3 linked regions of the Nothobranchius furzeri genome follow. The protein of the gene in region 1 purifies or fractionates together with the protein of each later gene. This does not show direct contact. Links are inferred from orthologs where the notes say so. Each region holds a gene or a part of one and is shown on either strand. Other genes may lie near its edges. The genes, in order: strip2, sike1 and serine/threonine-protein phosphatase 2A catalytic subunit beta isoform.

Region 1 (3,649 bases):
TTCCCCCAGAAGAGCTGGCTCGAGTAGCTGAGGAGAGGGAAGTCTGGGCGTCTCGGCTTAAGCTGCATGCCTCCACGACCCAACTCCGCATAAGCGGCTGAAAATGGATGGATGGATTATTAAAAGATTAATATTCTTTTGTTTCATTTGCTTTTCTGTATTATGGATTAAGTGTCTGCTAATCAATACTCACACGCTGTTGAATCCTCTCCTAATGGCACCCCTCCATTATAAATCCATACCTCCCAGAGTGAGAAGTGTGCAAAGAAATGCCCCTCTGGGTGTCAGCGAGCTGCGGTAATTATCCATTGCTGTAAATCTCTTGTTTACGGCAACATTTCTATCATTTCCAGCACAAGTATGTGTCTATAGCTGAAGTCCAGATCAAGAAAGAAGAGGAGCTGCAGCAGTGTCCGCTGAGCCTGGTGAGCTCCCGCTTTTACTTTTTGGCTTTATTTAAATAAACTCCAGCGTTTCTCTAATTGAGGCTGCGGGTGCTAAATGGAGGTGCTGTGCTGACAGGGTGAGGAGGAGGTGGAGGAGACGCCTGCTGAGATCTTATACGTGGGAATGCTTCCAAACCTCTCACAGTATGTGGTGAGTGGATCTTTTTCTACTTCCTCATTAGCGAGAGGCTCTTCTGAAAAATCTGACCTTTGTCACACGAGGATACCTCAGACAAAACAAAATAATTAGCAACAAATGTCTCAAAGAGGCACCAGAAAACCCGACCTTGGAGTCGGCACGGTCCTGCGTGCTGCTCTGTCCAGTCATTATACAGATTTAGTTAGGGATGTAAGAAAATATTGCAATATTTTCTGTTACAATACTGGGTTAATATTTAAAAGCAGTGTATCAACATATGTATTGAGAATTTACAATCAAACATTTAGTGTATTTCTTTTGTCTGGTGCAATTCAAACCCTGACTGCTAGGGGGCAGCAGATTTTACCGTCTTCATTCTGATGATCTCTCAGTGAAACTGGACGTGTCTTACAGGCTTCTAGCCACAGTTTTCTGAATAAATTCAGTCTTAAAAACCGCTTTTATCATCTGGATTTTATTATCGCAAAGTATTGTATTATCTCCTCTGTACTGTGACGTTTATGGTAAAGCCGGATTCTTGTTAATGCAAACCCCTTTGAAAGTGCATTCCTCTGTGGATTATGAGAAATTTTTTAAATCATTATCTTTTCATTTTATGTACATCGTTGCATCATCAGCACCATGAAGCAGCCCTAGAATTTCATTGTGCTAATGAGGTGACATTGTGCAATGACAAAGAAAGCTTCCTATTATATTCCATTCTTTAAAAGGCCTTTTGATTCTTTGCTGCACCAGATTTGTTGTCTCCCCCTGAAATCATCTGTTGTTTATTTGCATTATTATTCTCCTCCACCGGTGAAACGTCCTTGAGCCACTGATTGCTACAGAAACACAAATCATGGTTTATTGAAAACCCATTTTATAAAGATTAATTCTAATTATTTTTCATGCAGGCTGAACATGAAAATAGTCTCCTACACCATTCTCCTGCATTCATCAGCTTCTGATAGAAAATGGTGAAAAGCCTGACAGATCTACGTCACAGTTACTTAACATTTATGGACGTTCCCATTTTGACTCGCGACAGGGAAGGCTGTTGCTGTTTTAGCATCCAAGAATCAACAGAGAATGCCTCAACTAGTAGAAGCTAACCGTTAGCATGATCAACTTCACCACACAGCAGAACTCCTCCCGGCTTGTGTTAATCGTGGAGATAAAACCAACGTTGCAAGTCGATGATGGTCGTGTTGCTTTTATTCAATCCTGAGCGAGATGTCCAAATATCAGGAAATAAGAGCTCAAAGCCTGCTGTCTGAAGCTCAGCTGTGATGTGAGTCACTTCTAGTGTCTGGAAAGGGTGCGCCGATTTGACCCCCCCCCCCCCCCCCCCCCCCCAGTACGGGTTACAAGGCATTCATTCCTACTAGAGACCACTGAAATGAATTTATTAAACGAGCGTCCCACACTTTTAAAGAAGTGAACTTTGGGGCATCTTTTTATTGCACGTACCTTGCAACATGGAATTAATTTAATGTCTGCTATAGCTCTTTCTAGTACTTTCTTCCTGTGCAGGTATTAGTTGTTAGTGCTAAGCTGTGAAGGCGCCTGTACAGGTGGACATCTGTATGTACTCATTTGTTTTTTTTTAACTAAGCTTCCCTTTCTTTCTTTTGCCAGATTGCTCTCCTGAAGCTCCTGCTAGCTGCAGCTCCAACCTCCAAAGCTAAAACCGACTCCATCAACATTCTGGCGGATGTGCTGCCTGAGGAGATGCCGTGAGTGATCAAGCCCTTCTCAGCTGTTTTTGTCTTTTGTCATTATTATGTCCTCCATGTCAACATAGAGCAGCTTTCCCCTTGTTGATCGACACTTGAGCTGGTGAGAAAGTGTAAAAACACAGATGAGAGAATCAGCTTGTTTTACAAGCAGGTTGTGGGTGTGTGTTGGTTGTTGAGTCTGTTCCTGACCAAACAGTTGCAGGATAACTGTTGGATGTGTGTGTCCTCCAGGATCACCGTTCTCCAGAGCATGAAGCTGGGGATCGACGTAAACCGTCACAAAGAAATCATCGTCAAGGCCATCTCTGCTCTGCTGTTGCTGCTCCTCAAGCATTTGAAACTCAGCCACATCTATCAGGTAACACCCAGCTCAGGGTATTATCATTGCCTTCACTTCTGAGTTATTGTGATTCCTCTGAGTTTTACCTTCCAGGTCCTTTCAAAGATTGTATGTCTTCTCCTGAATCACGGGAACAAGATTACATTTGGAATTCTTGGTGCTAAAATCAACGTTGGTCCCTTTGCTATTGGGAGGGGGACACCGATGCAGATATTTGCTGTTGCTATGGAAGAAACATGCTTCACACTCCTGCAGCTTTCTGTTGTGTAGAGCTGTGATAATGGCTCCACCTGCTGACCAAAACTGGAGTTGCACCCACAAACAACTGCTACTTTTTCACATTTTAAAGTTATTTTCTTGAGCCAGTGTGTGCTAAAATGGCCCTTTACAGAGGTAATGAAAGGACACCTAGACCCTATCCAGAATATTCCACTTGCCACTTCAGACTGGCGGGCCGCTTTGTTGGGGCTTGGAAAAAATAGAGCTTACCCCCAAATTCCACTACCTCCGCTCCGCTCCGACACGAACGCCGGAGCAAAATCGGTCCCGTTGTAGTCAATCAGAGCAATTCCACTACTGCGGCCGTGCTCCGGCAGTGCGGCGCCGTGCACCGCCCTCTGTTCCGGCGTCCGGCAAAAATAGAATCGATCCTATTTTTGCCGGACGCCGGAGCACCTCCGCAGTCAATGGACAGAAATCACCACCGCCCAACAGGAAAATGAGCAAGCAGAACTTCCGTTTTTCACAATAAATCGATAAACAAAAGGCGTTTTTTGTTTCATATGCACAGGTTTAACAACTTTTAACAACTATCAATGGCGGCTGAACTTTAAATGCACAAAAGTAAGCCATAAATACAGTTTCCACTATCAAAGTAGTCACACTTTGTTGATCCAAACACTGCTGATCTCTACACAAATGATGGGCAGATTAAACAGTTCATGTCATGCTTCTCCCACACAACGGGTGTTTGGATCTAACTTCC
Region 2 (4,223 bases), on another chromosome or scaffold:
CATTTACCAAGTTTAATGACACCGTCTGCGAGGCACCGGTCCCACTTTTTACCGAGCTCCTTCTCAGACATCCTGACTTAGCTTCGCTCCAGGTATGTGACTCTGGTGCTGCGTTTAGGTCACCCGGAAAATATTCAAGTTGTGAAAATCAAATTTAGAATAACAAGAAAATTGCGGTGCAGTTCCCATTATTTCACCACGTCATTTATGAAATCTTATCAAATAATCGACAATGATAAAAATACTTTGAAGCCTTGAAATAAATTAACGTTTTTTGGTGCTTTTTCCCACTTAAATGTTATTGGAGCGATGTTTTTCCAAACGTCTCATTGTCACAATCAGAAGAGCTTAAAATCACCACCTAGCGGTGAAACCCTGAATTAAAAAATAAGGTTTTTGTGTTTTATCAACAAAAACTTCACCATAAGGTAATATGACTTAGTTTTCAGAACGAGTTTTATTTTACACAAATAATTACACTTCCATAAACATGTTCACTTAACCAACAGTAATTTCCTGAGATGACATTTACAGTTCATGACAAAATAACAGTGCACAAGTACATAACACTCAAAAAAGTAATGCTTACAAAATGTTACCGTGAGAAAGATGTGCAGTCAACTATTACACATTTACTCTGCAATCCAATCTAAAAATTCAGAGTAAAAACTGGTATTTATCATGTTGTAAGCATAACAATCAACTATGGCAGACAAAATGTACATTTATAAATTTACAATCTCTTTAAAAAACTGCCCACTGTCATTCCAGCGCAGGCATTTTGTTTTGTGAAACAGCCAATAGTCATTTTCTTGGCGATGAACACAACATCACACGTGGTGTACAAGTTAGCGTTTAAAACAGAGGCATTTTACTTTTTGGGCATTTTACTTTTTTATGTTCTTAAAAGATTAAACTCATCCTTTCTCCATTCTAAACAAAAATAAATCTCCCTCAGCTTCACTTCAGCATTTAGATAAATATAAAATAAACCAGTGATACCCAAAGCACCTCAGTCAAACTCCGTTCGTTTATGAGGAATTCACTCCCAACATTGCTGCAGTGAAAACACAACTACTGTACATAAAGATATCTATCATAATGATATACCCACTGGTAGTTAAATGCTTCTGATGGCTTTAATGTTGAATTTAAATTACTTTTACAAACATTATTCTGCAATCTAGGTTGTGCTTAAAAAAGAAAAAGCTCTTCCTGTTTGGTTGGTTGTTCCACCTGATCAGTTCAGACTGCAGCTGCTCGGGTCACTCATTGGTCACTGCCTGAGGGCACTGCTGCTGCTGGTGTTGATGGCTGGTGGCTCTCTTCATTTCCCATCTTCACAGATGCCTGGCTGATGGCCAGAAGGTCCCGAAGCTCCTTGTTCTCAATCTGAAAGAGCCCGGATAACCAAACGTAACCTCGTGTAGATTACTCGTTATCACCAGTCCATGCAAGATGGTTGTATCTATGCGAGTTTGGTTTATTGAATCAACATTTTAACCAGAATGAGTCAAGAAAGTCATCTCAAAGAGTTTCTAAGTTGATCTCAGGTGTGTCCAGATATTTTCATTCATAATCTAATGCTGCACCATACGCTCCAGGAAACTAGCAAACAAGAAAACCTGAGAAACTCCAACAGTTTTTATGCTAGCAGCACTAAGCCTTGTGTGTGTTTGTAGACTCATGCTAATTTCCTGAGCTGTTTCAAAGCCTTAGAGTCACTGATTTTGCCTTTTAAAAGCTTAATGATAACTCCTGACATCACGACTGCCATTCCAGTCCTTACCTCCAGTTGAGCAAGCCTCTCTTGAACAGAGCAGAAGTGCTGATCGTCCACCTGCATGGCTCTCCTCATCACTTGGCCCATCTCACATATCCGTTCCACCTGGCTTTGCACTTCCTGGATAAGATTCAGAAAGCATAACTTCAAACCCCTTTTTCTGTCAGAAAATTACATGACTGGGAATGTTCACAGCACAATGAAAGTTGGTGTACTTTGACGTAGTCTTGGTGTAGTCTGAGCACTGGTTTCGTGTCCAGCTCCTTTTTTGCCATCATCAGCTGGAGCATCTGCTTGCGATATCGACCCATGATCAGTTCTAGTGTGTACTGGTGCTCTTCAAGGGACAGCCATAGTTCTGCGGAAACAGTGGCGAAGACAAAAATTACAGACAAACACATGAACTCTAAAAATACCTAAAAACATTGTAAGGATTTTACCTTTATTCTCTTGCTGCAATTCCTTGATTTGAGTGTTTTCTTGAGTCAGAAGGATGTGAGGCTTGTATTTTGTGAGTTCCCGAATCTCTGAGCTGTCTTCTGTGTGCTAAAAGGCAGCAACAAGGAAAATGTCATAAGTAAAAAATACATTTTAAGCACTAGTTGGATGACTGTTCCACCTCTTGATAAATAATTCCCATTATTTAAATATGCTTTTAAAGGCTGGTGTACTTTTTTGGACGATCAGACCTTCTATCTCAAAATGTCTAAGTACTTGAGTAGAGTTAGAGAAGAGTGTCATTTTAAGCTTACCTGCAACCCCAAATCCTTAATGCATGGCTTAAGTCAGCCTTCTAATATAAATATACTTTCACCCAACGTTTATGTGTGAGAGACCATCTTACCTTGTCTGGAAGAGCATTGCCCACCTCCCTCATGCCCTGCACTCTCTGGCTGAGGGCCCCGGATTGCTCGATCAGTCCCTCAGCAGCCGTATCGTGCTCTTTCAGCCTTTCCAGGAGGGTCCTAGCATCCCCCAACACTTTTTCAAAAGTACAGGCCATTAGCTATTAAGTGACTAGTCGTATTTGTAAACTAAAGCTTCCAAATACCAGTTTGATCAGGCGAAAATTTGCCCGTACTGTAGCTTACGCTGGCTATGCTGTTCAAACGCACAAAAATGTTTTACAAACAAATATTCATATCTCAGCGGACCCTCCTAGATCATTTCTCAAGAGACAGATGACTAATTAAACCAGGACAATGTATAACAAAAGAAATCCCTCTTTTTGTTGGCAACTTCGTATTCGAGAGGAAAAAATATAGCGTCACTTCCGGGATTGTACCGTAAACAAGTATCTTGCCGTCAAACGTATCATCGTAGACGTAAAAATGTTTACGAATCCTTTGGTTTTCTCATTCTCGGCAAGGAAACCGTGTGCATAGACATTTTCTGAATAATTTCATTATCCAACTATCTTCATGAGTGTCTGGTGCGCAGACCTGTGGGAAAAGCCGTTTTAACATTTAATAGCATACTTTACTGCATATTAAGCATTTAATGCCTTTTAAACCTCGGTTGAGCCCAGGTTGAGCCCGATTATTTACTTCAAAACAACTGAACATCATTTCCCATGAACCCATGCGTGACAACAGAGCCAGCTGCAGAGGCTTCCCTAGCCTTCGTCAAATATCGCGGGAGCTGTCTCCCTAATCACTACGTAATGTGCCGTGCTGCTTCTAGCGGCGCTGGTGACAGTGCTAAAAGCTGTTGGGGTGAGTTTTATATTATTTTTCTCTGCTTGGTAAACCGTTGAGATATATTTAAATGTCTTATTTCGCATTTAATTTTTTTATAATTCAGGCGGGGTCACCAAAGCGAACGGGCGGTGTACAGCAGAAGTCGGGCCTGGGTGGGGATGCCTTGTTTTTTCTCGGGCCACAGCAGCGTGCTCTGGCTAACGAGCTAACGTTCCAAACGACCGAGCGACGGTTAAATAGCAAGCTGGCGTTTCTTTGACGTGTCTAAAGTACCGAAGACATGCTACTTTGGCCATTCTAACACTTAAGACGTTTCTAGTTGGTGCACAACTTTTGTAGACGCGAGCTTTGTAGGTAGTTTCTTTGTTTTCCATCATCCTCGTGCCGTTAGCCGCGGTGTTTTCTTCGTTTACCCTCGATCTGTTAGGAAATCAAACACGTTTTAGCGCATGTGTGTTGTATCGGACTTGATTAGCCGTCTGACAAATTTCGGATTTAAAATTGGTTTTGATCTAATTCCCATTTTGGTTTTTGCATTTGTTTCAGCTGGATGATGTCGCAAATGTGCCAACCTACTTCTTAACGATACACCTTAAACTGGACCTTTACGTTTATTCTTAAGTTTTCCAAATAATTACAAAAAACAATTTATACGACGTACTTCTCTTGAAAGAAAGCATCTTTGTTTATATTTTTTCGAAAGTATCAATATACCATTTATTAAAATCAAATGAAGAATA
Region 3 (4,394 bases), on another chromosome or scaffold:
TGCAAACAGTAAACTATAAGATTAACTCATTAACTGCCAGTCGTCATTTGCATGTTTTTACTGTGTGGGCGTCGGACGAGCCCCCGCACCGTGAGAACAAACATCTCAGCTCTAAAGCCGATCTTCATCCGCATACGTCACGTGATCAGGAAGCAGAACATCCACGTGTTAGGAGATCGTTTTGGGCCGCTGCTGTAAAAAAAGTGAGGCGTGAACCGGAAAAGCTTCTGACGATCACAATTCAACAACGTATTATTAAAGAACGGATAACGCTCGAAACACGCGGATTCTTCCTGATGTAAGAGGTGAGTCTCCGCTTTGTTTTGGTTGTTTTGGTGTCGACATCATCCTAGCGTGCAACATTCTGTCACTCTATAAAAAAAAGGAGTAAAAATGCTGGAAGTGAAGGGCTTTTCTGATCAGGAAATGGTTGGCAGTTAATGAATAAAAAAAAGTTAGTTTTTACCTTTTAGTCCAAATCAAAAGTAAACTTTTTTAAGTTAGCTTTTTTCATTTCTATGATATTTTTGTCACTTTTTTATTTATTTGCTTTTGATTATTTTTGTTCCTGAATTAAGTTTATATTTATCGCAAGTAATACCGTCATTGCAATATTAATCACCGTTATTGCATATCACAGGTTTTCCTAATATCGTGCAGCCCTAGAACATACAAATTTAAAGAGGCAGAACAAAAAACAATCCTGGTGACGCCGCCGTGTTGCTGTTGCAGCGCAGGAGGGTTGTGGACTTGAGTCTGGTTGTTTTTTTTTGGCAGCAGCAGATGAAATCGGTTCATGTTTCGGCTCACAGACCAACACCAGGAACGACGCTGCGCTTTATTAAATTGCTGTTTTGTCATATTTAGCAACACAAATCTTATCTGAAATGTTACATTAACTCCTGCCATAAATGGTGTGTGAGAGAGCAGCTTCCTTTAGTCACACGGCGTGCGGAGCTGTTCGGCTCATTATTAGGGCCAATTTATCAAGACAATACTGAAGTTTCACAACAAAAAATACATATTTATTCCGTACCAGTTCCTACTAAATATTTGGTCGGTACTAAAGAGGAACTGAGTTTGGGAAGCCAGCCCCTCTGGTTTGTTCTACTAAAAGTTTGAACATACAACCCAGAGACTCTGGTGTGACTGGAACACACAAGATGATAAAATAACACAAACTGACCCTGACCGTTTTAGAAACAAACGGAATAATCTCTTCAAATGGATTTCCATTTCCTCATAGATAACCCCCCCCCAACAGGAACAAAAACTGCAAATTAACTCGGATGTATGCAGTATTGAAGAAGGCGACTTATTAGGATTTTTTTGGGCCAAACTCACCTCTTGAACGTTGGACTCCTTAGTCAGAATCTCCTTTGCCTGAAAAGAACACAAAAATTTATTAAACTGGTCACATTTGTGTGTTTTTATTTACATAACCAAAAGTTTAAAAAGGACAGAATTATTGCATCATGGGTGAAAACATGCTGGAAGCCAGGCAAGACCCCAGTTCCTGTAGAATAACAAACAGGATGTATGGTGAAACCTGGTTTTTTGTTGTTGTTTATGTGCAAAAACATCAGAATAAAGAGCCTCTCTGCAGTGGTTCAGTTTTTGATTCTTTATATTTGGTAAGCTCACAATAATAACAAAATAATACAGGAAAAAAAGCTTTAATTATGAAAAGGAAACATAATTAAAGGCATCAAAATCGATTGATAGTTTAACTCTTTAGTTCAAAGTGTTGCTCAGCAAAACGACATAAATATACACAAAAGCTGTTTATTTACTTTAGTAATAAATAAAAATCATCTTTTGCAGCTCCATAAGTTTCCACGTTTATCTGGCCTGTTGAATCCTCAGCTGGTTCCTGATTTCAGCTGAAAAACCGCTAAAGTCACTCAATTATAATAATGTATGTTTAAAAAAATAACACGATGCAAAAAGTCATAAGAACTAATTTATTATGCGACAGCAAAAATGCGGACGCGTCTAATAACTGGGAGGTAGGATGGGTTTATGCAATAAACGATAAATCAATACAGACAGGGTGCGGTGCGAAACCCCGCACGTACGCAAACAAACCAATTCTAAAGACGCTGACTTAATACTGATTTTAACATAATATTTCGCATGGAACAAACCGAGGGAAACCACGTCAAATAAAAAAACGGGTGGATGGTAACGAGGGCTGCATCTATTTACTAGACATTTAAGGTGCGATTTTCGGCCTGTTGGTGCTCAAACTACGACTGTTGGTTAACCGTCATCACTGATAAAACTAGCCTCTGATCTTCAAACACCAAAAACAATACGAATAATTTCTCATTTCTAGTACTAATAAACAGGGATGACCTGCGGCTGACGGGTCAATAGGGAGATAAAAACCAAAATACACGTTACTTCCTTTCCAGAAATTAGTCGGGGCCGCTGAGAACCAGGCCGCTTATAAATTGAGGTCAGCGGAATCAAATGAGCGCTTACCTTCTCACAGAGGGTCCTCACTTGGTTTTCCGTTAGCTGCTTGCACTCGTTGAGCTGTTCGATCCATTGGTCTAATTCTTTAGTAAAAGATTTATCTTCCATTTCAGCTGTAATAAAAAACGGCGTCCGGTCCCTACGCGAACTGATTCAGCCTTTAGCTTGTCGTATTGTTAACCCGATCCAGTCCGGTTGAAAAATATTCGATTAGTCCTAAAAATAACGACCCTTTCAGACAACTTCTCTCATGATAAACCACCAATGTTAAGTTACCGACATTAAAACCAGTTTAAATGAGCCAGTGGAGTCGAAATCTTCGAAAGTCTCCGCTGCGGCAGATCGAAGCGGCGTCGCAGAGGCTAAAAGAGCTAGCTGCAACAACATCCGGGCACTTCAGCAGCGCGCAGACTCGGAACACCAGCGACACCACGCGGGGAAGTAACGAACTACAACAAGTTCATCGTCTTTTCCGGGATGCTGATCCTAGACCAGGGCTTGCTGCTCTAGGTACACATTATGTGGTTTATTTGTAACTCACTCACTCACTCACTCACTCACTCACTCACTCACTCATCTTTACCCACTTCAGTCACCAGGGGACAGACAGAGGACATCTGGACATGCCTCCAGTCCATCACAGGGACACATAAAGGCAAACAACCAGTCACACATTCAATTACATCTAGGGACAGTTTATTGTCTCCAGTTAACAGACCTTCTTTACACCTCCACTGGCACCCCACAAGGCTGTGTGTTGTCTCCTCTACTCTTCATTCTCCATACAGATGACTGTAGATCCATCCAGCCTGACAGTTATATGGTAAAATACGCTGATGACACTGTGCTCCTGTCGCTTCTGTCAGGCCCTACTGTTTAGCACGGGCAGGTCCTGCAGGAGTTTGTGGATTGGTGTGACACAGCAGGCCTGGAGCTGAATGTGACCAAAACTAAGGAGATGGTGTCCTTCTCAAACAAACAGAGAGCGCTGGTTACCGCTGCCTCCACTATCATTCATGGACAGCCAGTGGAGCTGGTTGAAGAGTATACATATCTAGGGACCACCTTTGATCACCTCCTGAAATTCGCTTCCAACACTGAGGACATCCTCAGAAAATGCCAGCAACGACTCTACCTCCTGAGGAAGTTGAATTCATTTGGAGACAGGAAGGACATTTTACTGACTTTCTATTATTCTTTTATAGAGAGTGTTATCACATTTTCCATCCCCTGTTGGTTTTATTCTGTCAGCCTGCAGTATAGAAACCGTCTACAAAGCACCGTCAAGGTGTGCTCTCAGATCATTGGACTACCACTGCAAAACTTAACTTCTCAATGTGACCAGCATACAGGAAGTTAGCATAGAAAATAATTAAAGACCCATTACACCCTCTTCATACTGTTTTCGAGTGGCTGCCCTCCAAACGCCAACTTCGATGTCCATGCTGTAAAACACAGAGGAGGAGTTCCTTTGTTCCCAGAGCTGTGCTTCTTCTTAATTCTTAGTGCCGATAGGAGTGTGCATAACTTGTATGTGTGCGTGCATATAGTTACATGTATGCATGTGTATTTGTGTGTGCATGTGTGTGTGTGTATGTGTGTGTGTGTGTGAGCCAAAGGTTTACATGAATTGTCTCAAATTGCCCCTCGGGGACTAATAAAGTTGTCTTGAGTCTTGAGTTTTTGGTCAGTGGGAGGCAATCCATGTATGCATGGGCAACACATTATGGGAACACACAGGCTGCAGACAGAATGAGAAACTGCAACTTTTTTTTGCCACAAAATAACATAAAATAATTCCATATATTTTAAACCACAATAAAAACATGTTTTTGTGTCCACTGTCTGTGACTGAAATTCATTAATCAAACTATACCCGGCAAACAGGGTGACTGTGAGAGGAAATGTTGCAG

What was found.
Region 2: the proteins of strip2 (region 1) and sike1 purify together in Homo sapiens (affinity purification with mass spectrometry; 3 studies listed by BioGRID and IntAct, with this or other methods). This does not show direct contact. The link is inferred for Nothobranchius furzeri from reciprocal best matches to the Homo sapiens genes STRIP2 and SIKE1.
Region 3: the proteins of strip2 (region 1) and serine/threonine-protein phosphatase 2A catalytic subunit beta isoform purify together in Homo sapiens (affinity purification with mass spectrometry; 3 studies listed by BioGRID and IntAct, counting the BioPlex papers as one, with this or other methods). This does not show direct contact. The link is inferred for Nothobranchius furzeri from reciprocal best matches to the Homo sapiens genes STRIP2 and PPP2CB.

What each region holds. Positions count from the first base shown.
Region 1 is NC_091741.1:53,343,942-53,347,590, reverse strand, and holds part of strip2 (striatin-interacting protein 1 homolog), read left to right. Parts: intron 1-353; coding exon 354-425; intron 426-522; coding exon 523-597; intron 598-2,223; coding exon 2,224-2,321; intron 2,322-2,555; coding exon 2,556-2,682; intron 2,683-3,649. UniProt on the Homo sapiens protein: Plays a role in the regulation of cell morphology and cytoskeletal organization. Required in the control of cell shape. Calmodulin-binding scaffolding protein which is the center of the striatin-interacting phosphatase and kinase (STRIPAK) complexes.
Region 2 is NC_091755.1:53,138,450-53,142,672, reverse strand, and holds sike1 (suppressor of IKBKE 1), read right to left. Parts: upstream 2,932-4,223; 5' UTR 2,787-2,931; coding exon 2,628-2,786; intron 2,330-2,627; coding exon 2,224-2,329; intron 2,142-2,223; coding exon 1,999-2,141; intron 1,904-1,998; coding exon 1,790-1,903; intron 1,393-1,789; coding exon 1,270-1,392; 3' UTR 439-1,269; downstream 1-438. Other genes in the region: micos10 (MICOS complex subunit MIC10), read right to left, coding at 8-71.
Region 3 is NC_091750.1:36,847,526-36,851,919, reverse strand, and holds the start of serine/threonine-protein phosphatase 2A catalytic subunit beta isoform, read right to left. Parts: upstream 2,880-4,394; 5' UTR 2,590-2,879; coding exon 2,488-2,589; intron 1,384-2,487; coding exon 1,345-1,383; intron 1-1,344.